Arabidopsis thaliana: one gene and its partner. The protein of the gene in region 2 interacts with the protein of the main gene of each other region in a pairwise test. Each region holds a gene or a part of one and is shown on either strand. Other genes may lie near its edges. The genes, in order: AT5G24100 and SAG29.

Region 1 (16,384 bases), 4.0 Mb from region 2:
GAAACCTCTGTAGTTAACCATTGATGATAATTATATCAACTCACCGTCGCTTGTTGGAGCCGGAGCAGGAGCTGCGGATTGAGCATGTGCCATCGGCAACAAAATGGCGAAAATTATCGATACAATTGTAGAAACTCCGAAGAAAAGCCTCGAGCCCGACATTTCGATGTTTATTCCTCCTTCTTCAGTTCTTAAATTCTTTTGTTAAAGTTCTTCCCTCTCTCAACTCCTTGATTTTTGGGAGAAGGATTTTAGAGAGGGAAGAACAAAGAAGAGAGGAAAATGAAAAAGAAGAAATCAAAAGAAAAGCTAGGCAGAGCGATAGATGAGGTAATGAGAATAATGAGAGATTCTTTTGGCATTTTATTGAACAATTATTTTCTACTTTATGGTCGACCCGCATATCTCGGAACAACTCATTTTTGCCCCACAATAATTGATGCTTTTGGAAATGGAAATCGAAACTTGTGAATGTGAAAAAACTGCTATTGTTTCAAATTGTGTGTAGTCGAAAAGAGAGGTTATTAGGCTGTTTTTTAGCTTCTTGTGTCCAGCTTGGACACATTATTCTCCCTATTATTGCCATTAATCCAAAAACATAATTGTTCCTTTTTGTTTTCGGTAGTTGCATACTAATTTTAGAATTTATCACGGCCATGTAAATTCGTAATTATACCAATTTGTACTATTTTACCTTCATAATCTTAGATTTTGTGTTGTTAAAATTCATAATATATTTGTTTCAATAATACGAAACCACATTTGTTTTCATTTTTCAACATTATAAAAGATAAAATCCAAACTTCAACAAAACCATTTCAAAACCTACAAATAAATTCTATCAATAGAGTCAATGTTTAAATGTTCAAGATTATAAAACTTACGGAATTATATTAATGATTGAGTAATTAAGTCCTCCTATGCTACATCTAAATGCTAAACACCGTTTTAGTTTGTAAATTATCTAAATGTAAAGAAATGGAGCTAAAATTTATATATCTGCCACTGACATAATTATAAATCATAAATGCCAAAACCCGTAAAATAAAAATTCTACAATTTATTAATCAGTCTCTCTCAATCTCTTCCAAAGTCTCAACCACTTTCACCATATCCGGTCTCTTTGCCGGAACCATAGCCGTACAACTTGTTCCTAACTGCAACATCTGAAGCAACTTTGCTTCAACGTTAGGAGTTTTCACAAGCTCCAAATCAAACACTTCACCTGTCCATTGTTTTGAAATAACGTCATTCACCCATACCACTAGATCTATCCCTTCCTTTCTATCATCCATAATCGATCTTCCGGTTAGAGTCTCCAGCATCAATATTCCAAAACTGTATATGTCTGATTCTGGCGTAGATCTCCTCGTGTCGGTTACTTCTGGCGCACGGTAACGTAGTACCGATCTGGCTGATGAATCTGCCCTCACAACCGGGTTGGTTAACAGAGGTAAACCGGCTTCCGATATACACCCATATCCTTCCGAGTTCATGAAGACGTTAGAAGATTTGATGTTTCCATGTGCGAGGTTTTGTGTATGTATGTGACCTAATCCTTTTGCTACTCCGATCATGAATCTCAATCGCGTCTCCCAGTTCAACGGGACGTGACCCTCGTCTGCGTTCTTGCCTGCAGGGAAAAAAAAACTTTCTTCAGATGCAAGAAACCAATATTATCAAATAAGGTTTCAACTGTTTGTTTGCCTTTATATGTTATAGAAAGTATTGCCTTTGCAAAAATATGAAAAATGTAGAACGTACCATGAAGACGAAGAGAGAGACTGCCGTTAGAGTCATAATCATACACCATAAGCTTTTCTTCCTTGGAACACACGTAAGCTCTTAAGGGAGCAACGTTCTCGTGCTTAATGTTTCCTACAATCTCCATTTGATGTTTAAAATCCTTCCGGGACACTACTATGTCTTTCAACCGCTTAACAGCGATAACCTTGGAATCTTCTAGAACCGCCTTATACGTCATCCCAAAAACGCCCTTCCCTAGAAACTCTGCAGAAGCTATCAACAAGTCTTCCAAGTTAAAAGCCAGATTACTTCCTTCAAAGAACATTACTTTGTTAATTTCGCTCTTATCCTCCATGTCTTCAATATTCTTCTCTTTTCCTAATTTAGAAACTTCCTTCTCACTTGGCATCTTCTTAGCTAGTTTCAACTTATCTGGTTTTGGTTCTGTCTCTGACTTCCTCTGCCTTTTCACATAGCAAACGATTATCACAACCGCGATTACAAAGAATATCACGAAGCAAACGCTAATCGCTATCCCGAGAATCGCGGGTTCAGAGATATAGATGCCGTTTTTCTTTTGCTCTTTGAATGAAACTACCGCCGGAGGAGGGGCATTTTCGAAGACTAAGTTGTTGCCGGAAAAAGCCGAGTTCCCGAATCTTTTCAGAGAATTTGGGATTGATCCGGTGAGATTGTTGTTGGAAAAGTTAAGTCTGCGTAGACCGGGGAGATTAAGATCCGGAATCTCACCGGAGAATGAGTTTTTAGCTAGGTTAAGCGAGACGAGTCCGGTAAGATTAGCAAATCCCGCGGGAATACTACCGTTAAACCGGTTACTGTACAGATCAAGAACAGTGAGATTCGTCCACGTGGCGTAATCGGATGGTAATGGGCCAGAGAATCTGTTGTTCCCGAGACTAATTGCTTTGAGTTTCTTAAGCTGCAAGAAATCAATTGGGAACGGCCCTCGTAGGCCGTTGGATCGAAGACTGAGGATCTGAAGCTCCGATAGACGGCTGATAGTACCAGGTGGGATCACTCCTAGAAGACTTGCTCCGGGCAAGTGAAGGGCAGTGACACGTGTGCCGTCTATGTCGCATGTGACCCCTGGCCACGTGGTGCATACCGGGCTGCTTGTGTTCCACGCTAGAGACCGTGGGTGAATGATGTTGTTGAGGAAATCGAGAAGGGCTTGTCTGTCACCGGCTAGATCACCGGTGACCTGAGAATACAGAGCCGATGATCCAAAGAAGAGAAATAAAACAAAATAGAAGATGAAAGATCTTCCTCTACTCATCTTCTTACTAATTTCTCTGGTTATGTGATGGAGACTTTTATATCTGCATTAGATAATATTATTGTATGAGAAAATGTAGATTTTTAACGATTTTGCCAAGAAAAAGAAAAAATCATTCCTGTACTTTCCCCCAATATTATGGTCTTTTCATCATTTTGTTTATAATTTTATTTTCTCTTGTCAAATCAAGTGTATGCACTCTGAGACATGGTTCGAAACTAAAACTACACTTATTCATGCCTAAAATGACATTTGAATTAGAACATTCCAAAAGTTGAAGTCATCAAATGTATAAGCCAAACAGATTCTTCAGACGTAATTGCAAAGAAAGTGAAGATAAAATAAAAAATAACTTACAGTTCAAATGCGGAATCTCATTAAAGGACTGGCTGAAACTTTAGTTTAAATTGAGAAGAGAGAATGTAAGAGATAGTTATGAGAATTTAGAAAGAAGAGAAGATAGAAAGACCAAAGAAGTTTGGTCTGCAAAACTATAGGCAATAGCTATTGAAGAAGGAAGACATAAAAGATCATTGTTTAGGAAAGTCAAAACGCTAGTAAACGTTTAATTGGCGCATATCTGGTTCAAGGAGCTTCAGTGTTTCAGATTATTTGGAACTTGGTTTATTAAAAAATAAGAATACAATTAGTTGGGGCGTGATGGTGACAAATATTGGATGGAGGATTGTTATAACTTAGAAATCATTAAAGGGAATATGAGCTGTTGTATCATTTTCTTTCTTTCTTTTATTAACATTAAAACCCTCATATTTTTTAGTTTCTCAACTTTTACCACCAAAGCTAGTGTGAACCCTAAACAATATACGTAGTTTGAGACTTTGAAAAACATTGTGTATTAGTTAATGTGTAAAGGTTTTTAGAAGATAAAATAGTCGATTTTTCATATATCCAATTTTACAACGCAAATTTTTTTTCCTGTTGCCAAGAGTTTTTAAGGACATAAGCGAAATAAAAAAGGGAAAAATATCAAAAAAATCACGAACTTTTAAATTTGGGACGATTTAATCTTGAACTTCACGGAAGACAAATAAATCGTAAAGTTTTTGTTGACTTTCGAAATAAATGAGAAAGTGTTTGTTGACTTGCCATTTGAGTCATGTCGTTAAATAGGTTCAAAAAAAAAATTACAACGTTAATGACTCGTTTATTTGCTCTGTTAGAACAAAACAACGTCGTTTATTGCACAGACCAAACAACGTCGTTTTGTCTTGAAACAAATTTAAACCTTATATCCCCAAATCGATTTCATTATCTCGAAATCACAGACCCACCTTGACCTCAAAATCGCAGATAATAAAATCGAATTGGAGATTCAGGGTTTAAATTTGTTTTAACAGACAAAACGACGTTCTTTTGTCTCTCAATAAACGACGTCGTTTTGTTCTAACAGAGCATATACACGAGACATTAACGCCGTAAAATAATTCTGTTAACCTATTTAACGACATGACTCAAATGGGAAGTCAACAAAAGCTTTGTCATTTATTTCGAAAGTCAACAAAAACTTTACGATTTATTTGTCTTCCGTGAAGTTCAAGATTAAATCGTCCCAAATTTGAAAGTTCGTGATTTTTTTGACAATTTTCCCGTATAAAAAAATTCTATTAGTATTTTATAATAAATATCATATAAGAATATCTTTTAGTGCTTAAATATATTTTAATAAATAAAAACAGAACTAGAAGTCAAAATTAAACGATAAATTATTCTGTTATTGGTCAAATATATATTGAAACTTGATATATAAAATGGGATATTCAATATTGACATAACTATTTTCAGTTTTAAACATGTATAAAAAAAGAACTTTGGCAAAAATTTATTAAAACGAAGTTGCTAAAGGAGAAGAATCAATGTAGTGGAACAACAACATGCTCATGAGAAAAAATAAACACAAAATTAAATGATCAAAATTTTAATAAGAAAGATGGATGTTTTTTTTTTTTGGTAAAAGAAGATGGGTGGATTAATTTTGATTTAATGACGATCATTTAAGGTCAAGAACAAAAAAACATAACAAGCAATCTTACATATAAACAACATAACATTAAATATCTAATAAATATGCCTATGTAAATTTTATAAGAAAGTGAATGCCGTAGGCGAGTGTTTCTAATTCTATCAAATAGGCACGGCTCTTAGATATATTATGCATGAATTTGAATATTCACATATAACAATTTAAACATGAACCACGATGCGAAATGTCTTAACGCTAAAATTGCAATGCTTTTCCAACATAAAAATTAGGGGAGAAAGCAGAAAACTTTATTAAGATAAGGACCTTTTATGCTATATGAGCCTATATATGAGAGTATATTTAAAGTCTATATATGGTATGCACATGCAACTGCATGAATAATTTGTATATCTAGTGATTAATATAATATATTAAACTAAAACCATATCTTATGTGTTTTTGGCAATGTAACTTCACATGATCTGCGAGCATCTTACAATCATTGACGTAAAGTTTTTGCCTTGATTAATAGTTGTTGTTATATTTTACTAATATATGTTGTTTGCTGTGCTGTTGTGCATATACTATTATAGCTGCATGTGCGGCCAAGGAACGATGACGAACCATGATAAATGGGAAAATGATTGTTTACAACTTAATTTATTTTCTCCATTACAAACAAATTTATAGCTTTTTCTATTCCCAATTGCTTAACATAGCCGTCTCACAATTAGAGAAAGCGAAAACATTAATTATCCCAATACAATAATGAATATATTCAAACGCCGAAGGGAAATTGTCAAGAGTTGTTAAGGTTTTAAAAACCTTAAACTTCAATACAACCTTCACAGTTCACACCCTTAGAAAATGGTCCAGTTTTGGCCCAAATATTTAACAACATTTGGGTTACGAGTATTTGCCCTTTACAAATGGATCAACAATCTCCCTGGATCAATATTTAGTGGCCGGTTTCATGAATCAACATATTCTTTTTTTTTTTTTGTCTAAAGAATCAACATATTCTAAATCACCAAAACACTTTGGTCAACAATTTTCGACAATATATGGAAATTAGGTTGGATTATCATGCGACTTTTTTCTGATTAATTTTATGTATTTTTAATTTACGATGTAATTCGGACTACTAATTTGTATTATGATAACTTTACATTTTCCATACTACTCAAGTCCAAGTAAAATACTATTGTATATATATCTTTGGATTTTACATAAATTAATGGGGAGGCCTAATAAAATATACTCGGAGTATATCATTTGACTTTGAAATTTATCGAGTCAAATCAATGATTGTATTTTTGGTAAAAACAATTATTATGAAGACTTTGAAAGTTTTTAATGATTTTAATTTCAAAAATTAGTAAATGCTGGTCTGGTTATCCATCCATTGGAAGAGAAAATAAGACCTTTTCAAAGCTAGTTGATAAAAAAAGTTCTCGGTCCTATCCCTCATCTTATAAAGAAATTATTAATACGTTTAGGGATTCAATTCACAGAAGATTTAAAAACAAATGGAAAATAGGATATTACCATAATAATTATGGTTCAACAACAATTTCGATTTCTAATTTGAATAATGGAAATTTAGATCAAAAATAGTTCCGACTCATAGATAAATTGAAATGTGCCAAATGTCACGTAAACCAGCAAGAGGACAAAGTCAACACCACAAGAGACGACGACGAGCACAGTGTGAGGTTATGATATATACCCTCTGCGAGACTGCGACTGCTATTACTGATTTGATCCCAAGTTTTTTTTTTTTTTTTGAAATTTATTTTTTCTTTATACACAATTACATAGTGGTAAGAGATTCTAGATGGCTTCTTAATGTTTGAGATTTATATCTAGTTTAAGTAGGAAAGCTATATTATTTGAAGAAAGAAAAAAACAACCAATCAAAGTCATGCAATGTGTGTGAGAGACATTATAACATACATAGATAAGATATAAAAATTAAAGCAAACAAAAGTCATATTTTACTTCTTTTATAAAAAAAGAAGTTAAGCAATAACAAACAAACACATAACCACAAAGAAGACAAAACATCTTTAACCAAAAACATGACCAACATGACTCTTCGCAAGCATGTTATATACTTTCTTTTCTTCATAAGCTGCTCTCTTAGCAAACCCTCCGATGCATCCAGAGGTGGCATAGCCATCTATTGGGGCCAAAACGGAAACGAAGGTAACCTCTCTGCCACGTGTGCCACCGGCCGGTATGCTTACGTCAACGTCGCCTTTCTTGTGAAATTCGGAAATGGCCAAACACCGGAGCTCAACCTTGCCGGCCACTGCAACCCTGCGGCGAACACTTGCACCCATTTTGGCTCTCAGGTCAAAGATTGTCAGTCTCGTGGCATCAAGGTTGGTTCGTTCATTCACATACATCCGATCCTTTAGGTCTAGATGGTTTTTTTTCCGAGATAGAAAATAAATAGCTTTTGTTTTTATCTACTCAAATTTTGATTCTATAATTTAGTTAGCTACTTTGAAATGACATTTGTTTTGATACTTATGTCAAAATTGTTATAAGGTTATGTTGTCTCTCGGCGGCGGGATTGGAAACTACTCGATTGGGTCGAGGGAGGACGCAAAAGTTATCGCTGATTATCTGTGGAACAACTTCTTGGGAGGAAAATCATCATCACGTCCCTTAGGTGATGCTGTTCTAGATGGTATCGATTTCAATATCGAGCTTGGCTCTCCTCAACACTGGGATGATCTCGCCAGGTAGTAGTATAAATGTATAATTAAGAAAACATTTTGAATAAATGACAAATGTTGTCGTGACTGAAAAAGACTAGTTATCAAAAGAAGATGTTGAACACCACCAAACGATTTGGGTGACTAATTTATCTATTTTAGTTCCGGTCCAAAAAGATAACGAAATTCGAACTTTATATAGAAAAGTTTTGTTTAGGTGTTTAAATTCCTTCTTTGTGTTGACTTTTTTTTTTTGTGAAAATAACAAACTAAACTTCAAAAAAAAAAATGTGTACAGGACTCTCTCAAAGTTTAGCCACAGAGGAAGAAAAATATATCTAACAGGAGCTCCTCAATGTCCATTTCCAGACAGATTAATGGGAAGTGCTCTCAACACTAAACGTTTTGACTATGTTTGGATTCAATTCTACAATAATCCACCGTGTTCATACAGTTCAGGTAATACTCAAAACCTCTTCGATTCATGGAACAAGTGGACCACTTCAATCGCAGCCCAAAAATTCTTCTTGGGTCTACCGGCAGCTCCTGAAGCTGCCGGAAGTGGCTATATCCCACCAGATGTACTGACTTCACAGATTCTTCCGACTTTAAAGAAGTCTAGGAAGTATGGAGGTGTAATGCTTTGGTCTAAATTCTGGGATGATAAAAATGGATACAGTTCATCTATATTGGCTAGTGTGTGAAAAGAATCGTTATGGCCATTGTATGTGTATCAATTCTCTCGTATGTGTATCAATTCTCTCGTCTTTGGTTTCTGAAGAATTGTTGTGTGTGTGTGGTGTTAGTAGTCTAATTTAAATTGTTTGTATCAATATACTTAATCAACTTTGCTTTTTCAATATTTTTTTTTAATAAATTATGGATTCGCTTTTAGTATGAACTGATATAGATGTAGCTAGCTGCATGCAAGATTTGTTTTTTTTTTTACATGAAAGGTTTTTTTAGAGATACGATATCTACTTTGGAACTATATTTGAAATTGAAAATTATCGGAAGCGCAAAGAAACGAGATGAATCATGATTCAGAAGAAAAATAAACATATTGTAAGCACATAGAAGACTTCTGTCCACATCAGAAGGATGAAAAAAGATTTTTGACTAATACTCCTTCTGTATATTATATTTGATGTTTTAAGTTTTGGCAAACCGATATTATTTATTAACTATTTAAAACATAAGATTTAACTAATTGTAAAATTAATATGCAGAATATAAACTGTCAAAACCAATAAAAAAAAATCTATTTTAAAATAACTTTTTGTAATAAAAGATCAAGTAATAAACAGAGAGAATATATACTATATATATATATATATATCGTGTTCAAAAAAAAAAAATCATTATATATATTTAGACAAAGGATTAGTCTAAAATATCTAATCTAATTGAGCTATGAACGGTTTAACATGCATGCACTAGTTCATTTATTTGTTATTTGCTTCATAAACAAGGATTGATCCAAATAATCCCTTCAAAATGAGTATAGTCGTCAAATAACTCATTCAATCGATTTTTCTAATGGATCTAAAATGATGTACCATTTTGGCTAGCCAAATAAAAATAGTTTGATGATTTCATTTAATTTGTTGCCATCATTTAAACTTTTGAATATGAAAAGAGTATGTAGAGTAATAGTAATGGGGAACGCATAAACATTAGTTGATTTGTGCTGATTTATGTTGATTTATGCGACACTATATTATCTTACGTACCATGAACACACATTTCACAAATTATAGATCATATATTGGTGTGAAAAATAAAGTTAATTGTTACATCTTCGACTATAGCTGGAGTTTTCATCCTATTAAATATTAATAAAAAAATACAAAAAGGCACAAAACAGGTGCCGCCATATCCAATATATCCAACATCGTCAATTATTCAGAGCCGACCATTTACAAAAACGAAGACCTTTTGTGAAAATCTAGTTCAACCATAAAAACACGTGCCACAATCTCATTCTTCAGAGTTCTCCCACCGAACCATCTCTCTAAATGCGTTCAAATTATATAAGTGAGTGATATATAAAGATTACTAAACCACATGGTATACCGATTTTTTAGCCTCATTCTCTTTTGTTACAAGATTCTACTATGTCTTCATTTCATTTTTATTTTCCTTCTGTTGGTCTCTTCTCATTCTTTTGCTTCTTCTTAGTTAGCTTGGCCACTGAACCGCACATCGGTTTGGGTTCAAAGCTAAAAGCTAGTGAACCGAACCGGGCATGGGTTTCTGCTAACGGTACTTTTGCAATCGGGTTTACTCGGTTTAAGCCAACCGACCGATTCTTACTGAGCATTTGGTTCGCACAACTTCCTGGTGATCCAACCATCGTCTGGTCTCCCAACAGGTACACATAATCCTTTGATATTTAGTTATTGAAGCAATCTATATTAGTAGTAAATATATACAAATTTTATGTTAAGCTCAAATAATTTCTTTAGTACCAACGTTTGATTTCCCTATGATCAGAAATTTTCCACATTATTTTTACTCAAAAATATAAATATCTAAAATATAGAAACTCCCCAGTCACAAAAGAAGCCGTGTTGGAGCTAGAAGCCACGGGAAACCTCGTACTCTCCGACCAAAACACTGTCGTCTGGACCTCAAACACGTCAAACCATGGTGTTGAATCAGCGGTTATGTCCGAATCTGGAAACTTCCTCCTCCTTGGAACAGAAGTTACTGCTGGTCCAACCATTTGGCAAAGCTTTTCGCAACCTTCCGACACTCTCCTCCCAAACCAACCCTTAACCGTTTCCTTAGAACTAACCTCTAACCCTTCACCGTCGCGCCATGGCCATTACTCCCTGAAAATGCTGCAGCAACACACTTCACTTAGCCTCGGCCTAACCTACAACATCAATCTTGACCCTCACGCAAACTACTCGTACTGGTCCGGACCAGATATATCTAATGTTACAGGAGATGTTACCGCAGTTCTTGACGATACCGGAAGCTTCAAGATCGTTTATGGAGAATCCTCAATAGGAGCAGTGTACGTCTACAAGAACCCGGTAGATGATAACCGGAATTACAACAACAGTAGTAATTTAGGGTTAACAAAAAATCCGGTTCTGCGGAGATTGGTATTAGAGAACAACGGTAATCTCCGGTTATACCGATGGGACAACGACATGAACGGTTCAAGCCAATGGGTCCCTGAATGGGCAGCTGTATCAAACCCGTGTGACATAGCTGGGATTTGCGGTAACGGAGTTTGCAATTTGGACCGAACCAAGAAAAACGCTGACTGTTTATGTTTGCCCGGTTCGGTCAAACTTCCTGATCAAGAAAACGCTAAACTCTGTTCAGACAACTCATCTTTGGTCCAAGAATGTGAAAGCAACATTAATCGTAACGGTAGCTTCAAGATCTCGACGGTCCAAGAGACCAACTACTATTTTTCAGAACGTTCTGTCATCGAAAATATCAGCGATATCAGCAACGTGAGGAAATGCGGTGAGATGTGTTTGTCAGATTGCAAGTGTGTAGCTTCAGTTTATGGTTTAGATGATGAGAAGCCTTATTGTTGGATTTTAAAGAGTCTGAATTTTGGCGGGTTTCGAGATCCTGGCTCAACCCTTTTCGTGAAGACTAGAGCTAATGAATCTTATCCCTCAAATTCGAATAATAATGATTCTAAATCGCGTAAGAGCCACGGATTAAGACAAAAGGTTCTGGTGATTCCTATAGTTGTGGGGATGCTTGTGCTTGTGGCACTACTTGGGATGTTGTTATACTATAATTTAGATAGGAAGAGAACACTAAAGAGAGCCGCAAAGAACTCTCTTATCCTTTGTGACTCTCCTGTGAGTTTCACTTACCGCGATCTCCAGAACTGTACCAACAACTTCTCCCAACTTCTTGGATCAGGTCAGAATCAACAATCATCATATAACAAGTTTTAACTTAGAAGTGTTTCAAATCTTATTTTCTTTGTTTTATGATGTGGTAGGTGGATTTGGGACAGTATACAAAGGAACAGTAGCGGGTGAAACGCTAGTCGCGGTGAAGAGATTAGACAGAGCATTATCTCATGGCGAGAGAGAGTTCATCACTGAAGTCAATACCATTGGTTCAATGCATCACATGAACCTTGTTCGCTTGTGTGGTTACTGCTCGGAAGACTCACACCGGTATGACTTAGAAGACTTTTACAAAACATTTTACTCTGTTTTCAAGCAAACAGATTTGAATAAATGTTTTTTTGGTGACATTACAGGCTTCTAGTTTATGAGTACATGATAAATGGGTCGTTAGACAAATGGATATTCTCTTCAGAACAGACAGCTAATCTACTTGATTGGCGAACACGTTTTGAAATAGCGGTTGCGACTGCACAAGGAATCGCATATTTTCATGAGCAGTGTCGAAACAGGATTATACATTGCGACATTAAACCTGAAAACATCTTGTTGGATGATAATTTTTGTCCTAAGGTATCAGATTTTGGGCTAGCCAAGATGATGGGGAGAGAGCATTCGCATGTGGTTACGATGATTAGAGGGACGAGAGGGTATCTAGCGCCCGAATGGGTGAGTAACCGCCCGATCACGGTGAAGGCCGATGTGTATAGTTATGGAATGCTTCTTCTAGAGATCGTAGGTGGTAGGAGAAATCTTGATATGTCCTATGACGCTGAGGATTTCTTTTACCCTGGATGGGCCTACAAGGTAAATTTAGACGATTTCTAAAATATAAAGAAAGGGCTTAAATTAGTTATAAACATAAAGATTATAACGTCCTAACGAGTTTTTGAAAATAAATGAATAGGAACTAACGAATGGGACATCTTTGAAAGCTGTGGATAAAAGGCTACAAGGAGTAGCAGAGGAAGAAGAAGTAGTGAAGGCTCTTAAAGTGGCTTTCTGGTGCATACAAGACGAAGTATCGATGAGGCCGTCGATGGGTGAGGTGGTTAAGCTTTTAGAAGGCACTTCGGATGAGATAAATCTGCCACCGATGCCACAGACGATTCTAGAACTTATAGAGGAAGGATTGGAGGATGTGTATAGAGCGATGAGGAGAGAGTTCAATAATCAGCTTAGCTCTTTGACTGTTAATACAATCACAACCTCTCAGAGTTATCGTTCCTCCTCTCGGTCTCATGCTACTTGTAGTTATTCTTCAATGTCTCCTAGGTAGTTTTCTTTTCTTTTTTGCATCATTTTATTGTTTGAGATCATTTCTCTATTTCTAGGACTAATCAAAAATATGATATTTATGTATGTTTAAGTCTCTTACCACTAAACCAAATTAAAAAGTTAGAAGCTCATGTATGTTTGATGGACTTTTATTCAGACCAGCTCTGTACTTAACACATATCATAGATTGGACCAACTTACATGAACTTATTGGGTTTACGGAAAAAATGAGAAGAAATTAATACTCGTGACTTGTAAATGTTTTAAAAATTAGAAGTTCCATACTTAGAGAAGGCAAACGATTCTCTTATCTTAATCATCGGATCTTGCTCTAGCGGTATCTATCCCGCTAAAGACGGACTTGGGACAGTCAAATCCTATTTCATTTTGAATCATCAACTTCCATGAGAGCGTTTCTAGCGCTGGACGTCTTGAAAGATAGTACAATAGCCAACACAAAACGAAATTAATTTATTTTCATCTCCTATCTACTTTTAAAAACTTTTAACTTTTTTTTTATAATAAATTTTAAATATTTATAAAATAAATTTAAATTTTAAAACACTGAATAATACATTTGATTATGAGTATGATTGGAAGAAAAAGAAAAAAAGAGAGTATTGATTGATAAACAGTGTCGAAATTTGCTCTTCTATCCCAAAGCAATTGTGGTAGAGTTGAGTGGTTAAAGGTTCTCCTGTGGATCAAGAACATTGTTCCAATCTTCTGTAGATTGATTTTTTAAAATTTCATTTTAAGCTACAAAGTAGCTTAAACTAGAGATCAGGAATCTTACTGTTTTTAATCTACAAATATTTTTGTTCGGATCTTCTATCACAATTTGCAATGCTAACTCTGAATATCCTTGCACACAGGAGTTTTGAATTCAGTTTTTCACCTAAGGTAGAGAAAGGTCTAGTAGACCGTTGACCAAAAAAACAAAGAAACTAACATACAGTATATTGTTTAATCGAATCACCCCAGATATTTCTAATTTAAGAAAAATTACAAAATTAGTATTGGTAGTCTACTCTAAAATTCTTTAGGTCTATTAATACGCCTACATTAGGAAGAGAAAATGTCAGAAGGAATATCAGAATGTACCCATAATGCATACTAAAAATCCTATAAAGTTAAGTGCCTATGGCCTAATTTTCTCAAATATTTTAATATTTATATGATAAGAAATTCTTGTATTTAGTAGGGAAATACATTTTTTTTTTGTCTACACCTAATCCGTTAGCCCTGCCAGTATGAGGTATAGCAATATGTGGACCTTGCCACTAGACTATAAACCCTTCTCAGTGAAAAACCATTAAAACATTTTCTTTTATATATCCTAGTTAATTTTTGTTTTCTTTAAACTAGGGTTTTCGAGGACTAACTATGTAGGATAAGTATAGTTCATGAACAACTCACTCACTAGATTTCTAAATAGATCTGATGTGATATCATTTCGAGTGAAAAAGTGAAATTTTTCTAATGGATATTAAATCTAAAGGAAGCGAATTTCCATAATGTTACGTAATTTTTATGACTAGGTCAATACTACGAGTAATTTGTTTTCTAAACTTTTACCTTTTTAATACATATTTTATGACAAATGGACGTAATTAACTAACTAATACGGTGAGCGAAAGAAAAGGCAGCTGACGAAATTGAAAAGAAAGAAAACGAGTGAGAGATTGATTTATTTAATGCACAAGTTTAGTAGGTGATCTTTTAATATTTTAACGCATGTTGATATGAAAGTTGGAAAAAATAAACCATGTTGGCATGGAAAATTCAATAAAAGTAACATAGTTGTATTACAAAGTGACAGTTTACAGAAATTCCTGTGAAATGAAATACCAAGTTTTTTCCGATTAATTGACGCTTAAGAAAGGACAAGTTTTCAGCAATGCGTTGGCGTAGTATTGTTATTCATTCCTTAATTACTCTTACAGCTAGATTTTGGTATAAGGTTTTTGTTTTCTCGTATAGTGAATTAGCTTACTTATTTATACATCCATAACAAGAGCAAGCGAAATGTTTAATTATGAATATTTATCGCCGACCAGTTTGGCTCACAAAACGTTGATTGCAAATTTTAAAACATAAGTATAAATAAGAAAACTAATTTCAAAACTTAAGTATAAAAAACAGTTAAAACTAAAGTAATATAATTTGATTTGAAATTTCTTGATTTAGTTAGCATGATCTATTTTGAATTTTTTTTGAGTGGAATTGTAGACTATGCAAAGAGAGACAACTTTTATATGTATATGGAGATACACACTGTTATTGAGATAAACTTTTTTTGGGGTATGGAATACACACTGTTATAATAGTAAGCTTTATTTATTTATCTCTACAACTAAAATTAAATATTATTAGGTACAGGAGGAAAAGTGAAACTACAATGTAAAGGAATTCGAGTCAAACGGGTAAAGAAATAACCAACTAGGTCATACAAAATAGCAAAAACCACTAGGGCATATATACTTTAAATTCCTCAATATGTGTTCTACAATTTACATCAAAATTTGAATAGGGGTGACAACTACCCTCCCTAGTCACTACCTAAGTCCCCAAATGACTGCAACATTTATTATTATTTCAAAACTACCACATATTACAATGAGTCAAATATTTAAGATAGAGAACTTTTTTTTACTAATTTCTTTTTAATTTAATTAACTATTAACTAATAAGATATATATATTTGGTTAAATAACACATAATCTTAGCTAAATATATATGCTTTTGAATGTATTGATGAACTTCATATGTCATTTTACTATAATAACATCTAATTGTAAATGAAGAATATAAAAATATTAATGGGACTCACTTTCTAAAGTGTGATAACTTGAAATCTCTACAAACATATATAGTATTTTTGAAATTTAAGGAGGTATTTCATTACAATATTTTAAGTGTGAACTATTTGTGGTATACCAATTACCAAGCAACCCACATAATTAACACTAATAATCATAAATCCATAATTTGGAACGTGGAAGAACATCGTTTCATGTGAATCCGCGTTTGTCCTACACGCGCTTCCTTGTACTGTACATCAAACCGATCAAAGTCAGAACGTAATAATAGTTTTTTATATCGACATTACCGGTTCACTCACGTGGACTTGCCATGCAAGTCAAACCTTATATATAACTCTCATTATCGAGTACTAATCCATATCTTAATTCATTACATTCATTTTTCCCTCTATCTTTTCTTTTATCTTAAACACAAATAATAAGAATCTAAGATACTTTGATCTTTTAATCAAGAAAATAAACACAAACTCCTAGGGTTTTTTGTGGTGGAAGATTTTTTCGTTTTTATACTAAAAATAATGCAGTTTGTGAATTTTTTCCCACTATTGGCCCTCGTAGTCATAAGCTTAGCCGGAAAGGCTACGGTAGAGGCTGCGACGGGATTGAACCCTCCGGTGAAGCTTGTCTGGCATTAT
Region 2 (16,115 bases):
AAGAAGAAACCGGTGTTGAATCTAATTTAAGCTCTCTCAATCTCATAACCGATTTCGAAATCCGGTTAACGGCGTCGATGAATACAGAGTCCTCTGTTTCGTCCCGCCCAAGCCCGGAAGATTCCATTTTTGACACCAATGAATCCACCGCCTCCGGGAATGACTCCACCGCTGGTGAGATCTCTCCTAACGGATCTTTCTCGGAAGAAAGTGTTTGAATGAAATCGACGACGGCTTCCATCACCTCGACGAGGCTATGTTCGGAGGATTCCGATTGTGATTCCGGCGTCGATGAATGCAGTTCATCGGAATGTTGTTTATTCTCGTGATCTTCAGATTTGTGATCATGATTTTCCGATGATTCATTTGCGTGATGGTGATTTCCAGATTTCTCCATTTTTCGCCGGGAAAAATTTTAAAACCCTATCTAACTGTTTTTTTCTCTGTTTTTGTTTTTTTTTTGTCTTTTTTTTTTGGTGTTTTTGAGGAAATTAAGATGGGGAAAAAATGGGAAGAATGGAGGAGATTAGTGTGAGGATTATTCTTAATAATCCATTATTAGAGTTTCTTTCTTTCTTCTTCGAAGATACTAATTGTGAATTTTTCTTCTCTGTTTTAGTTATTATATATTTTCTCTTTTATTTCTGAGGTTCGTTTTTTTGGGTATCCATTGGCCGTTGACCGAGAAGGGAAAGGTTATGCGTCTCACGATCTCTCCAATTTTTTTTTAATTGTACTTTATATATTAAGGAATTAATCAAACTCAGCCTGATCAAACTTGAGGTTTATTTATAATGTGTTGGAAAAATTATGTAATATTATGATTCAGCAATTTAGTTTATATTTGGGCTTATGTCATATACTCTGTGATCCAAGGGTATATTGTGTGAGTCCAGGGCTGGAAGCCTAAAGCTAAATATATTTGATGAGGCCTTTGTCTGTTTCTTTCATGTTTGTTTTATAAAGTCTACTATGCTTTGCATATTTTAGCCAATGACCGGACTCACTTGTATGCTTCAAATCTGGATTTTGCTCTTTGTTCCACTAAAATCATGCAACAAACAAACAAACAAAATTGCTACACCAAAATTACTTCTTATGTTTTTCCGCAATTTAAGCAAATTGTGCATCTAAGTTTTAGTCAAACCAATCATGCATTTGACGAGCATGGTATAATCGTTGATTGAGGCTGACGATCAAGGATCTATGAAATATGTTTACACCATCATTTGATTGGTAAATGACACGTTATCTTAACCAGAGGTTGATTGATAATAGTTTGATTGATAGTTAATACTTTTGATTGATAATCAGTTAATGCTGATTGTCAATTCCTTTCTTTTTTAAATGACTATATAACTAAACTGATAAGCGCTGCTAAATATTTGGTTCTCGCGTATGAGACTATAAATAGCAATATCTAGCAAGACATGAAAATGCAAGCTATAGTTTCGTTCTCTGCTTCAAGACCAAAGCAAAGTTATCTTTTTGTAGTGTTGTGGTATAGAGTTTGCTAGAGAAAAAAGGGGATATATCCTGAGTTTTACAAGTCATGTTGTGCAATCAGGGGGAAAATTAATCCACTTGTACAATAGGTGAAGGTAAAAATTAAGTTTTGACTGAGAGAACCAAAAAGACTTATAGGAGATTATGAGTTCAAGTGTCAACACTATCATCACTTTAATTTTACAAGGGTAAATGAGTTTAAAACAATTGTTTGGTGATTAATGACAACATTTCTATGACCAAAAACTATTTATAGAAATTCAAAAAAAAAAATATATATATATACTCTCAAAAAGTTTTATAAAAAGAAACTGAAGAAATATGATTTTATGTAAAGTGATTAAAAATAAGTAATAAGTTTTTTTTACTAATTTTGTTATTTTGACAGCAGAAAGAAGATTTGTTTGCTTAAATTAACAAAAAGAAAAAGAAAAGAAGTTAATTTGCTTGTATTGAAGATAATCTCGTCAACGAGAAAAGTTTCGAAGGAAGGATTTACTGAGAGTTTCAGCAACGCGTCATTGTTAATTCGCAATTGGTAATAGTGTGAACACTCGTGGACGACAAAAGAAGCTGCTTCTTCATCTCTCTCTCTCTCCTTCTCTTTCTCTCTCAACTCCAATTCGTTTTTACCAGTTTCGAATCTGAACAAAGTTGGGTTTTTTATTGGTACCCAGAATCTCAATTCTCCTTCTTTCCTTCTGGGTATAGGAAAAGTCTCGCCTTTTTTTATATTTATCCAATCGCTCCTGTTCATTGATTCCCCAGTAGGATTGTAGTTTTTGGTTATTGGGAAAATTGAGTAAAGGAGGAGATGGGTTGTTTCTCGTGTTTTGATTCGAGTGATGACGAGAAGCTGAATCCAGTTGATGAATCTAATCATGGTCAGAAGAAACAATCACAACCGACAGTATCCAATAACATATCTGGACTCCCTTCAGGTTTTGATTTACTCATTTGTGCTTTTTTATGTTTTAATCCACTTTCGTTACATGCTCATAAGATCTGGTTATTTGATCCTCTGGTTAAGCTAACGGGACTTGATCTCAATCACTGTTACTTTGGTTTTATGAGCTTGTCAGATGTTTTTTTAAGCTATTGGGCATGTTCTGATTCAACTGTGTTTCTTGGTGAAAGTGTCATTCTTTGCTTCAATTTCACTTGTTTTGATCTGATTGGGAAGTCTCTAGCTTGTGCTCAGTGTAAATTTTGTGTCTTGAAAAGGAATCGAACCTTGTGAGGATCAGGATCACGTGATCCCTACTGAATTAGGATTAAGATCTTAGATTTGGTTATTTGGGGATTGTGCCTTGGAGACATTGATACAAGTTTTATGCTTTTAGGGTGATTTGTTATTGGAGTTTAAGTTGGCATGAGGTATGAGAAGGCTGTGAGTGGATGTGTTTGGTAAATTGATTGGTCTTGATCATGACGTTGCAGGTGGGGAGAAGCTTAGCTCAAAGACCAATGGAGGATCAAAAAGGGAGCTACTGCTTCCAAGGGATGGACTTGGACAAATTGCTGCTCATACATTTGCTTTCCGCGAGCTTGCTGCTGCAACTATGAACTTTCATCCTGACACTTTCTTAGGCGAAGGTGGATTTGGACGTGTCTACAAAGGAAGGCTTGACAGCACCGGTCAGGTATTTTTTGTTTCGTTTGAAGTTAAGTAAATTACATCGCATTCCTATTTCTACCATTGTTGTTATTCATTTTAGTGGGAGATTTTGCTTCATATATTGAATGAGTCTTATCTAATAAGTGTCACTTTAGGATTTTTTTTGTTTCATAAGGAGTTTCGTTTGTACGTTTCAAATGCTAAATTTTGGAGAGAATTCCAATTTTATGTGTAGTCTTGGTAAATGACAAGAGACATGCTTGAAATTGTTTCTTAATACGTGTGAAATTTCAAGAATGACGCTCTTTGTGAAGTGAGTGTAGGGTAAGGTCTTGATGTTCTCTTGGCCTTCAACATTTTTCTTGAATGATGAATATGCCAGGAAATGAATATGCAAGATACTGCTTGCCATCTTCCGGTTGTACATATGTTTACAGTGTTAAAAAGATGACTGACTTTTTAATTTTGTATATATGTTAACATGAATTCTGCATACTTGGTGAACAGTTTTACATTTATGTCTTTACTTTTGATCCATGTCACCTGTGTGTTTCAGATCACTTGTTTAGCTCGATGATTTCGCAATACATAATGTTGTACCTCTGATCTATTTTTTTTTCAATCATTTTCAGGTTGTTGCTGTTAAACAACTAGACAGGAATGGTCTACAAGGTAACAGAGAATTTCTGGTAGAGGTTCTTATGCTCAGTCTTCTTCATCATCCCAACTTAGTCAACCTTATTGGTTATTGTGCTGATGGAGATCAACGCCTCTTGGTCTACGAGTTTATGCCGTTAGGATCATTGGAAGATCACCTCCACGGTAAATCTCTCGCCAGCCCTTTTCTAATCTCTTACCATTTTATTAGACCTCAGAGATTCCTTGTGATCAACATCAATCCAAAGATTCTTTCTTATCTTAGTCAATGTCAACCCTAACTTTAACAGATTCTTCATTCATTTATTTATTTGTTATAATCATTACCTATAAATTATACATGTAGACTTAAGTTGAGAAGTAGTAGTTGCTTGTTTTCTTTGGCAGCCTCTAACAAATAATTTTTTCCAGATCTTCCACCGGATAAGGAGGCCTTAGATTGGAACATGAGAATGAAAATAGCTGCTGGTGCGGCGAAAGGATTGGAATTTCTACATGATAAGGCAAACCCTCCGGTTATTTATAGAGATTTTAAGTCATCAAATATTTTACTGGATGAGGGTTTCCACCCTAAGCTTTCTGATTTTGGACTTGCTAAACTCGGACCAACGGGAGACAAATCTCATGTCTCCACTAGAGTTATGGGAACTTATGGTTATTGTGCTCCCGAGTACGCAATGACGGGACAATTGACAGTAAAATCAGATGTCTACAGTTTTGGTGTGGTTTTTCTCGAGCTCATTACTGGTCGCAAAGCTATAGACAGCGAGATGCCTCATGGAGAGCAGAACCTGGTGGCTTGGGTAAATCAACTCGTCATCATCTTCCAATTGATTTGCCATTATTCTCGTATGCAAGAAGTCTTGAGAATTTTTTTGGTCCTAATAGTTAACATTTTGGTGGTAACAGGCTCGCCCATTGTTCAACGACAGGCGAAAGTTCATAAAACTGGCTGATCCAAGGTTAAAGGGGCGGTTTCCAACGCGTGCACTCTACCAAGCTTTAGCTGTGGCATCAATGTGCATCCAAGAACAGGCGGCTACACGTCCTCTCATAGCAGATGTTGTCACTGCACTCTCCTATCTTGCAAACCAAGCTTATGATCCAAGTAAAGATGATAGTAGAAGAAACCGGGATGAAAGAGGTGCAAGGTTAATAACAAGGAACGACGATGGAGGTGGCTCGGGAAGTAAATTCGATTTAGAAGGTTCAGAGAAAGAAGATTCACCGAGAGAGACAGCTCGGATATTGAACCGAGATATCAATAGGGAGCGTGCGGTTGCAGAGGCTAAGATGTGGGGAGAGAGTTTGAGGGAGAAACGAAGACAGAGCGAGCAGGGTACTTCAGAGAGCAACAGTACCGGGTAGAACCGGTTTGGGTCGGTCTTGACCCTTTTTTGTTCTTATTTCTCTCAAGACTCTCATTTATTGTCAAACATAGAAAACAAACAAAAAAACATTGGGACGACGAGTTGCTGTACATTATATATGTGATGTTGCAATATGGGCACAAAGGTTAATAACCAAAACTCTCTAATTGAGATTCTGGAGAGTTGTGAAGATTGTTCATGTAAATTTTGTAGTCTTTCTATTTTTAAATTTTGACAGATATGTGTTTCATGATGAGTCACATGTGGCGATGTTTACGTCTCATTGAAAGATTGAATAGCAAAGATCCAATATTAAGTGTTTCTGGACTCTATTCATGTGGTTCAGTAGTGTGGCTAATGTCCACAATCGCGGAGTTTCGGACAACGTGGGTCACATGCCCTCGCAATCTGACAATTATTTTAAGGATGGCTTATTCAGATTGTAAGATTTTAGTTGGTCTTATCAAGTTTTTGTCGGGACTTTTTTTTACTATTGACAGTGTACTGTGTAGTCTATTGAAATGGATGTCGAAACTTCCCGTATGTTTTAGTTTTGGTGAATATCATTTCTTGGCCTCTAAATACTCGGAGAATCTATTCTTTACTAGATAGTCCTAAATTTTAGAATTTTTTAAGTAAGAGGAAAAATTATTAACTAAAAACCTCTGTCTTTTTTTCCATCAAGAGACATACTAATTTTATAAATTACATAGCGTATCCTACACTGGCATGCGTAATTTGTCAAAATTCGCTATAATATATATGATTCTTTGTCGGATTTTGTCGTTACGGTTTAAAATGTAAGTTAGTTAACAAGTATATATATTTCATATTATTATTTCTTACGAGTTATTTATAGTTATATTAAAATATTTTGGGGTAATATAATCATAGGATGGTTATAATATTTGTAGATAACTAAGTAATCTTGTATATTTTGTTACGAATAAGCAAATAATATAGTGATTGTCACTTGGAAGTGTGAGATATGCTTGCAATACATTTTCATCAGACCATTGGGACGTCTTGACAATTTTTTATTCGTTTCCAAAACTGGACGGTGATGATTTTTTGTACACTTGAAAATTAGACTCTACAAAGAAAAACACAATTCGTTTAAAAAAGAATATAATCTGCTTTGGTTGTATATACTTGATGGGGACAGTTTAGATCACAAACTTATGTACATACTTTTTCTTCTGACTCATGAGTTTTATATATTTGTTAATTCTCAAAATCGTTAAACAGTATGTCGTCAATGGCACAAGACCATTCGTTATCTAACTGACGGCGACATCTTTAAGACAAATGTAATCAATCATAAAAAAAAAGGGTGGTCAACAAGCTTATTAGTTTTAACAAAAAAAAAGCTTATTAGTAGGAGTAATTAAGCTATTGAGGTTTATTATATCAAATTTTCCAAAGAGCACTAGTTACAACTTACACAAAGATAATATATTCAAATAAACACAAAACTTTATGCAAGTAGTACATCATCAATAAGATACGAAACAAAAATGGAAATTTAACAAACCACCCCGCCGATAATACAATTTCTTCCTTTGGCCGGCCCTGACGAGCCGAGAGAAAGAGAGTGAAAGAGAGAGAGAGAGAGAGCAATATTTTGAGCTTCACATATTGACACTTCAAACGGTTTCAGGACGAGTAGCCTCCACGTAGCACTTGCCGTTTTCAATTGACGGCTCCTCCACTTTAGTAACTTTGGACAGATCCTCATGATGAACGGCTTCAGAGAGTGGGTCCACCGATTCCGTCACAACTGGGTGCACTTCCGACACACCTAACGGACTCATCACGACAATACTCTTAAGTTGTTGTTCTGACGAATTAATCTTCTCTGGTTTCTCATTTGAGTTCCTGTAAACCAAGTACAAAACCATTTGCAACAGCCCTAGTACGAATCCCACCACGTTTGGAATCTACAAAATATCATCAAAGCCATACAAAATAGGTCAGTTATAACCTTTTTACCGAATATTTAAAAAATTTAGCAAACGGTAAAAATAAATAATAATATAGATGCTTAATTGCTTACCGCTATGCATATGTCATTGAGGAATAAACCATAAGCGAACCACATAACGGCGCTTATAGTGAGGAAGAAAGAAAGCGTGAAGGGCATGTACTCCACACTCTTTGTCTTTATCACACGAGCCTATTCACATCAAGAATTTATATTTAACATTTTATTTCAAAATATAATGTTCTAGAAATAAATTTACAAATTAAATTAAATAACGCTAGCTTACCACGATCATTAGAGGGGCAGCGAAAACAGAAACAGAAATGGCAACACAAATCCAGCCGAGTACAGAGACTTGGAGGGGAGGAGTTTTAACCACGAAATGTGTTACCATTAGAATCAACGAGAAGAAGGCAACGTTCATTGCTATGAACAACTTCATAGCCGATATCTGCCAAAAACGCATATTATTCATTTAATATTCGTATTTAATTACATAGCGGAATTAAGGAGGAGGAGAGGGGAATAATTTTACCCTTTTCTCCCTGGTGGCGTAAGCGAAGAACATGGCTATGTAGAGAGTCTCCACGACGCAGCCAAAGGAGTTGATGGTAATTAGGAGAAAAGCGTCTTTCTTAATCAATGCGTAGTAGAGCCATAGCATGCAGCTAAATAGCGACACTTGGTACGGTAGCGACTGGAAACTTTCCGTCGATTTTCTCTTGTATATTCTATAAAAAGTTGGCCTGAATATTTTGAAAAACGAAATCATCAGAATCATTCTCAAAACTAACAAATAAATAAAATGAAATAAAAAAAAGTAAATTGAATCTACTTACACTGGAGCGAGGAATACAAGGAAGGATATCACGTTTCCTGTAATTCCATGTAAAAATAAAAAAATGAGTCAATTGTATAATTAAGAGGCTTCTAGTTTTGTGGAAACATAAGTACATATGAATCAGTACGGGTTCTCTAACCAACCTCAGCGGGGAATTAAATTGTGCATTAACCACTATACACGTATTGAGTATGATATAACATGGACAACAATGCGTGACGATTTCAATTTAATTAATAGCTTACGTATTGATTTATTTTTTGGTAGTTTGGGATTTAACTAAAGAATTAGAAGATCATTTATAATCCCAAATGACTTAGTTTAGTTAATGAAGAAAAAACTTGAAACTTGTTAGGTGAGTCATGATGAACACTACAGAATTTCAATTCATTTCTTAGTACTCTGTTGTTTAATTAACTCTAAGCTAGAACTACAATGGAACCCTACACATAGTATATATTGTTTTGAAAACAGAAGCTTAGATGTAAAGTTGCAACATTATAGTTGCTGTTGCAAATTCCTTTTGTTAACAAGTAAAAAACATAAGAATAACAGTAAAGACAAGAGATGATGAACAAACTAGGATTTGGCTTTGTGGATTTATCATTACCTAAGATGCCGAAGATAAAAGCGAGGAAATGGTGATTGATCATGACTCCCATTTTCTATAGCAATTGAGAAAACTTTCCTGTTAGGAGATTTCTAAAGGGTCTCTTTTTTTTTTTTTTTGAAACCCTAAAGCTTTCTCTCTCTTTCTCTATATGTCTCTCTCTAGAAGATGCTTCTTTTTATTTCATGGAGGAAACTGAGGAGGCTCAGGTGGTTTATATATAGCTCCAAAATAACCATTGTAGTCAAAATATTTTGATTTTAATGTTTAGAGTTTATTAGAAGCGTGTAACGTGTTGAGTAGAATAAAAAACAAAAAAATAAGACTCGAAAAGGAAAACGAACTCAGTCTGGTTGCATGACAAGTGGAGATATTAGTAGGTAGCGTTTGCATTTTATCATTCACTCAATCTTACTTCTTTCCTCCACTACTCTCATCTCGTACGCGCGTCGTCTATTACGATTTCATTTTCTTCACGCCTTCTTTTTAATTAGCTTTCATAAATCACATTTAGTACCACAGTTTTGTACTTTATAGACGATAGATAAATATCATGGTGACCAAAAGTCTACCCAACATCAACCTATATAGAGGAAATCATCACTAGATTACATTACGATTTGTACATTTTCTTTAGGCTTTATCGCCCTCTCTTTATTTTTAATCTACATATATATGAACTGGAATCCAAAATATCCCACGTATCTATTCAATGTACATAATAATTATAGACACTGTTTTCAAAAATGTAGGATAATTAATTTCATTGACTATATTTTCAAGTATGATTACAATGAATTTAATTGTTTTGTCTGTATTCTCGTTACACAAATATATACTATGACTTAAATGAGAGGGGTGGGACTGGTTTCATCTATATTGGTTTTTGTAAAGGAGTCTAGGTGAGAATGATTAAAGATCTAACATAGCTAGAAATATACGTGTGATGGCTAGATTAAACCAACACATTTATAGGTAGCACAAAAAAGTACCAGTAAAGATATTTCTTTGCAGAAAATTGACGCCGTTCTCTATATAATTATTGGCATTTGCAATGATTAACCAAAGTAGGAATGAAACCATTCACATCTCCTGGTCCAGTTTCTCATTTCTCTCTAACTCTTGTCTAGAGGTACACGTTTTTTTTTTTCCTTGTACAAAAAGAAAACGTTAACAATCATGCATGTTTTGAGCAAAAACTCCACGCGTCGAAACGGAGCGTCGCGCGTGAGAATAAATTAAGGTAAATTAAACGAAAAAAATGATGCGTTACGAGAGAGAGTCGTGATTAATAATACGATAATAATAGCATGAAAACGAAAAATTTGTGCAAATCACGTGACCTCTCCAAACGCTTCCACTTATAGCCGTTTCTTTAGAGTTTGTAGAGACACACACACACGAGAGCTATGCCACGTCATCAGATGCTGACTAGGCAACACCCTCTCTTTGGTTTCGTGTCTTTAGAGTATTTTCTGTTTCTTGCTCTTCGTCTCCTGTTTTAATCCCTATTTTCAGGATTTCTTATATTAGTATATTAAATAACAATTAGTCCTTTTTGTTGATTCCAGTTATATATAATTTTCTAAAATGTTTATAAACTTTTTCTCGTTAATTTTTTGAAATAAGGATGCATGTATAATGATCTAGTTATGCAGTAATATGCATATTATTCAGAGATTGGTTGAATATTACATTTTCTTTTGTTACGTTTGTTTCTATAGTTATGAGGAAAGGAATCTGAATATTTTGGAGAAAAGGTTGAGAAAATTACGAAACAATTCTCCATTTTTCGAGGGTAAGTTAAAACAGATATTAAAAGTGGGAAGAAATGGACAAAAGAGGAGTGACGTGGTAGGCTAATGATAACAATGATCATGGGTTTGTTAAATCCTTCTTGTTCTTATTCGTGAGTATTTGTTTCTCTCTCTCCCTCTTTCTTTTATTTGGTCCATAATAATTTAAAATATGAGAGGTGCCACTTTTGTGGTTCTCCTCCACCTTAATTTCCCCATCTCTAATTACTATTGAAGCAACTTTGGTTTCTCTTAAAAATTTTGATTGATTGGTGCCTAATATAGTTTTGGTTCATCGTACGATCCATACGGTGTATGCAAATTTGCAATCACATTCCCCTGACTTCTTTATATTATTTACTATAAATATATCCATGGACATTTATAGTAATATGTATACAGTAGTCATGAACAATAGATATTCATAATTCACTAGCAATATTGCATCACATCACAATTTCTCGTTTATATTTTGACATTTCTCATCGAATAAAATTTCTGTAACCCATATATGAAATGTTTTTTCGTTTTTAATGGATGATGCTTTAAATGAATTATGTGGAAAATCAACCCAAATACAACAAACATCGGCTGATCAAACCCCAATAATATAGGCATCTAGGTGACCCACATTGATATATGATGGATGCATATAAATTTGTGTATGTTGCTACCACATAAAGGAAAAATGACAATCATGTGGGTGAAATTAAACCTCCCCCGATCCTATCGTTTTCTGATTTCAATCGGTTATACGAATCTAGCTTTACACACACATACATTTATCTAGCTATGCTACATATAGCTTTCAATGATAGATACCTATCTATGATTTGTTAGCGAATTAATTAATGTTTACCAAATAAATACTACTATGTCATTATGATCGGTCTATTGAATCTATATTAGCCAGAATACCATAAATTGTGTATGTATTAAACCATGTTGTTCAAAATAATTACTCAAATAAATTTCTTTTCAATCATACATATTTATAAGAATTATTACAGCGTTGTGATAATTAAAATAAATGTAATGGGATGGTTGATATCATCACCTTATTCACATATGGCCAAAGTGCTAAACTATTTTTCTGACAGAAATATACTACGTGTATCACTTCTAGAGAAATTTCAATCATACATGAAAATTAACAATAACATTTCTCGAGAGATAATTTTGAATTGTTAAAAAACTTGATGAAAATTAATTACTTAAATATAAGTTTTAAAATTTTCTAGTACATATATTAAGACAAACTTGCATGTATAAAGTACGCCTTTTGCCGTCTACGTTATCATTTTCTCAGTAACCAAACAACATATTTTGATGCAAGATTACAAACCTTAGTCGCTGAAGTTAGTGGACACATATATTAATAACCATAAATGATAAGTAGATGAAATTAATTTAATCAAACGGATGTTCCTTAGACGAATCGGTCTTCTGCCTCGAGAATGGGTCAAGAACACAAGATATTTTGAGAATGTGTCGTTCACATAAATAAACTATGGTCCAACAAATTAAATATGGAGGGAATGAAAGTAAATGACGATATATGAAAGCAATATAGTAAAGGATGAAGAAAGCTAATGTAAGTTGGTTGAAGAGCGATTATATCTCCTAGAACTCTTTTTTGTCCTTTTCAATGTTCTCATCAATTAATCATCCCTTCTTAATAGAATCAATCAAACAGACCCATTCTCAGGTTCCTACATTTAATAACGACCTCTTATTGGACACCATCCTTTTATGGACTTATATGCAATAAAAATAATTATAAGTTGCAATTACCATACGTGAATAAAATATATGTGTGATTGCAAATTTTCAATAGAAACAGAAGTAAACCAATATGTGATAACTCGAACCAGATTGAACTTAATTAAAATAAAAATATACTATTTGATTCCTAAACTTTAATAAAAAATTTAGATCAGCTTTTTTACAAAAACTTAAATTTTACTAAGGCTACCTTAGTAAAATAAGCAAAGTAAGGCTAATATAGAGTAGATCGGCATTTTTTACAACAGAAACAATAACTGTTAATTGCGGATATATACTATTTAAAAAAAACCCCAGCATATTCGTTCTGGAGAAACAAAAAAAAAACGATAGGTAAAATAGGCCAAAATATGCGTTTATATATTAATCACATAATTGTCACCAAAAGAAAAAGTTAATGCCAATTTTGTTGTATTTGTTATTTCTCAATATATATTTTTAATGAAAAAACGTATGTCTTTTATATATATATATATAGTGGTTTGCATGGAAAAATACACATTTTCTTTTTCTGAGAATAGCAATTTCCCTAGTCTCAATCGTATGGAATGTGCTTTTGATGTATCCATGCAGCCAATTTGGGACGTCTCTTTTCTTTCATATATTGGGTTTCGGCGTTCGTTTTTTTTATTTCAAAAGAGGTACCATTTTATATGTATGATAACTCAAGCAAATACAGATTTGATTAGAGTACTAGATACCTATTTAGAGCAAACACTCATTTTACAAGGAGCACTTAAAATAGGTATTGTTCTTTCATATACGAATACGATGATATTCGTATCTTTCCAAACTTGTGTTTCCCATTGGATACAGGTCTCGATACTTTCCGAGTGTGTGATTTTCGTGGAGTTGCTGGTATTCCTTTCATGAGATTTTATTCGCATGAAATAGTTTTGACTACGAAAAATTATGTTCATATCTTTTGTAATGGCGAAAAATTGTATTCATTATAATTTATAACAACAAAATAATATATACCTAATTACCTATACTGTATATTGATACAAATGAAATATTCAAGGTATAGACCGTAGAGTCACGCTCAAATCAAAATAAGGAAATGACTATACCAGAAACAGAATTAATGACTCAAAAGTTTTAAGGGCCCAAAAGGCGTGGCGTTCTATAGTGTTTGATTAGAACTTGATTCATATTTAGTATGTTTCAGATACAAAGAAATGTGGTCTAGTGGTCAGAACATTCCACACGTAGCCATATAATTATTGTCTTCTGGATACACCTAGAAGTACAAACGACATCTCCTTTCCAAAAACCCCATCTCTATGTTTTCTTTTTGTTAAAATAAATGGTTTTCTCCGTTTAAAAACAAAAGAAAATCTATACACTAGTTCTCCAGAAAAAAATAAGTGAGAAAATGAGAGAAGAAGAAAACGTGAATTCTTTTTTTCTTAAGAGCGTTCATTTTTACGTACAAAGAGAGAACATTGTGTCCTTCAAAAAAAAAAAAAACATATTACAGCGGCATTATAAATTTTCTTTATACACATAATATTAATATTCATTTGCATGTTTTCACTTTTTATGGGATTTTTTCCAAATAATATAATTAACCCCTAAAAGATCATGTGCCAATCTACCTATTTTTTATTATTATATATCACTCTACATTTCACTTTGGGATTACGGATTAATAGTTGATTACATGTTATCTGTTACCGCAAAGTCAGTTTCTTAATAAAATTTATCAAACAGTATTGAAATCGCAATAGCTTTTTTTTTTTTGGTTCATTTTTAAAAAATCGCAAAGAGATTCATCTCTACCAAAACATAGTTCTGTTGCATGAAACTATATACTGTATAGGTAATTAGCAGTGAATAATACATAATCATTTTTGGTAAACCTATTTCGTTTATCCTATAAAAGAAATATTAGCAGTGAATAATAATACTATGAAAAATGAGTACAGTGGATTGATGGCCAAAAGATTAGGTTGCTAGTTGATACTTGATACGATTGGTATTTGTAGTTGTATATGACTTGAGGAATACGTATTTGTATGGTAGAGAAGTGGAAGAAAGTACCCAAAATACAATTTGAAGATCGATGCATTGAACGTTTACACATCTCATTCCTTTTCAAGTAAAGGCAATGGCAGGTTTTCTGCTTTTTGGACGTTTCTGTGACGTGGCAATACGTGGGGACTCTTTTATTCTTATTTTGTGTTTTCTTTCGTGAACGTATTTGTTTGCCTTACTTTTGAATTCCAACTAATTAATTGTCGTGTTCAAGTCATTGAGCATTCCAATTAATGGCGTCATTAGGAAATTTGTAATAATCAGTTACTAATGCGTACTATTGATTTGTCATATCTTCACATTCATAAAGACTTCCTAAGATCCTTAAGGCTTAACAGCGTAATGAGATCTAATCTTCTTCTTTTTGTGAACCAATGAGAACGAATCTTAACGTTAGATGTTCTACGTCAATTTCATTGCACATATAATTATTTGTCAACACACACACATATTTTGTTTTATTCCGTGGTCTCATCATTTTACTTTAACTGTATTGCCAATCAAAATGCAAGTAGCCATGCATTAATGATAATAATGTATTTATCTTTAAAAGGAAAAAAAACTTAGACTTGATCAATCACAAATTTCCGAAGTTACATGTAAATGAATGATTGGCGTGGCGATAAGGCAAGGATTGTGAGACGACATCTAAACCCAAGACATGGACCACATAAAGCTTATATATATATCATTTCAAATTGTTTGAAATGATGAGCTGGCTGCTTTTTTTCCCAAGTTAGTGTCGTCGAATATACCAAATGTGTCTTATCGAAAAGAGAAAACCAGCTTATTTCATCCAAACATCCCAAACAAAGAAACATTTGTTCTTAACCTTGATTATTAATTTGAACCACAATAAAATGGCTTAGAGGTACGGCATCGTCATTAAAAATAGTTGATTTACTCACAAACAAAATCGTACTACAATTAAGGACAGCTTGGGCAAGTCACTTAGACCAAATAATTAAATCCCTTTTTTTGGGTAAAATCATTACTTGTTTACGGAAGTATTCACGTGACATTTATTTTCAAGATATCTTAATAATACAAATAAAGAAATTATCAGACCATAGCATTTACAGAGCTATAGACCCGTGGAGTTCGAAGGAGACAATCAAATCATTCACAGACTAATCGATGGCAATGCGGAGAATCTACGACTCTACTGTTACATGACGGACATCCAACAATGGAAAACAGCATTTACAGGAATAAAGACTAACTGTCAACACCTATGTGCGGATTTCTTAGCGAAGACAGTAGTATCATGTAACTAACAATGGTCTCTATACCATAGCTGCCCTCGTTTTCTAAGTATTTTTTAAGGAAAAAAACCAACTTTTGGTAATACATCACAGAGAGAGCCCAATAAGTCGTAATGGGCCTGGAACCTAGAGTATTTTCAAAATTTTGAATCATTAACCCAAACTTAACCGAAGTCCTCAAACAGGCCCATGCTAAACAACACTTAAGACATTTCTCCTTCTTCTTCTACTCAAAACATAATCTCAAACCCAAACCAGGATGGACCAAACCAGAACTAAATCAAATGGAAGTATAGCCAAACTAAAATAAACAAGTATTGGTCTTATTTCTGTAAATTTCTCTTCAGTTGAAACAGACCAAACCGAACGATAACCAAACAAAAAATTGATTCTAAACCGATATGTATTCACTAATGAGAATAAAGATCATCTCTAGTGTAATTTTTCTTTCTTCTTTTTAAGATTTGAGAGCAAAGAAGAAAGTAAAAACTAAAAAGTGATGAAGATGAAAGTCTAACCTTTAATTGGCTGGAATTTGTGTCTTTCAAGTTTGGAATAAGCATCACGAAACAACTTTTTTTTTCTTATCAAAAGCCCAACTATTTTCTCTTTCCCGAAAAAAAAGAAGAGAAAGTTAGCACAC

The links.
Region 1: the proteins of SAG29 (region 2) and AT5G24100 interact in a protein complementation assay, tested with the Arabidopsis thaliana proteins (one large-scale study listed by BioGRID).

Annotation. Positions count from the first base shown.
Region 1 is NC_003076.8:8,135,875-8,152,258, reverse strand, and holds AT5G24100 (Leucine-rich repeat protein kinase family protein), read right to left. Parts: upstream 3,716-16,384; 5' UTR 3,401-3,715; intron 3,087-3,400; 5' UTR 3,044-3,086; coding exon 1,765-3,043; intron 1,634-1,764; coding exon 1,068-1,633; 3' UTR 874-1,067; downstream 1-873. Other genes in the region: AGP41 (arabinogalactan protein 41), read right to left, coding at 45-162; CHIA (chitinase A), read left to right, coding at 7,106-7,411, 7,581-7,777, 8,049-8,454; AT5G24080 (Protein kinase superfamily protein), read left to right, coding at 9,868-10,124, 10,296-11,653, 11,736-11,916, 12,003-12,453, 12,554-12,925; AT5G24070 (Peroxidase superfamily protein), read left to right, coding at 16,268-16,384.
Region 2 is NC_003076.8:4,174,534-4,190,648, forward strand, and holds SAG29 (senescence-associated gene 29), read right to left. Parts: upstream 8,822-16,115; 5' UTR 8,639-8,821; coding exon 8,587-8,638; intron 8,012-8,586; coding exon 7,975-8,011; intron 7,882-7,974; coding exon 7,671-7,881; intron 7,587-7,670; coding exon 7,422-7,586; intron 7,328-7,421; coding exon 7,208-7,327; intron 7,092-7,207; coding exon 6,798-7,091; 3' UTR 6,509-6,797; downstream 1-6,508. Other genes in the region: EXO70C1 (exocyst subunit exo70 family protein C1), read right to left, coding at 1-397; PBS1 (Protein kinase superfamily protein), read left to right, coding at 2,321-2,447, 2,947-3,149, 3,757-3,946, 4,193-4,584, 4,691-5,149.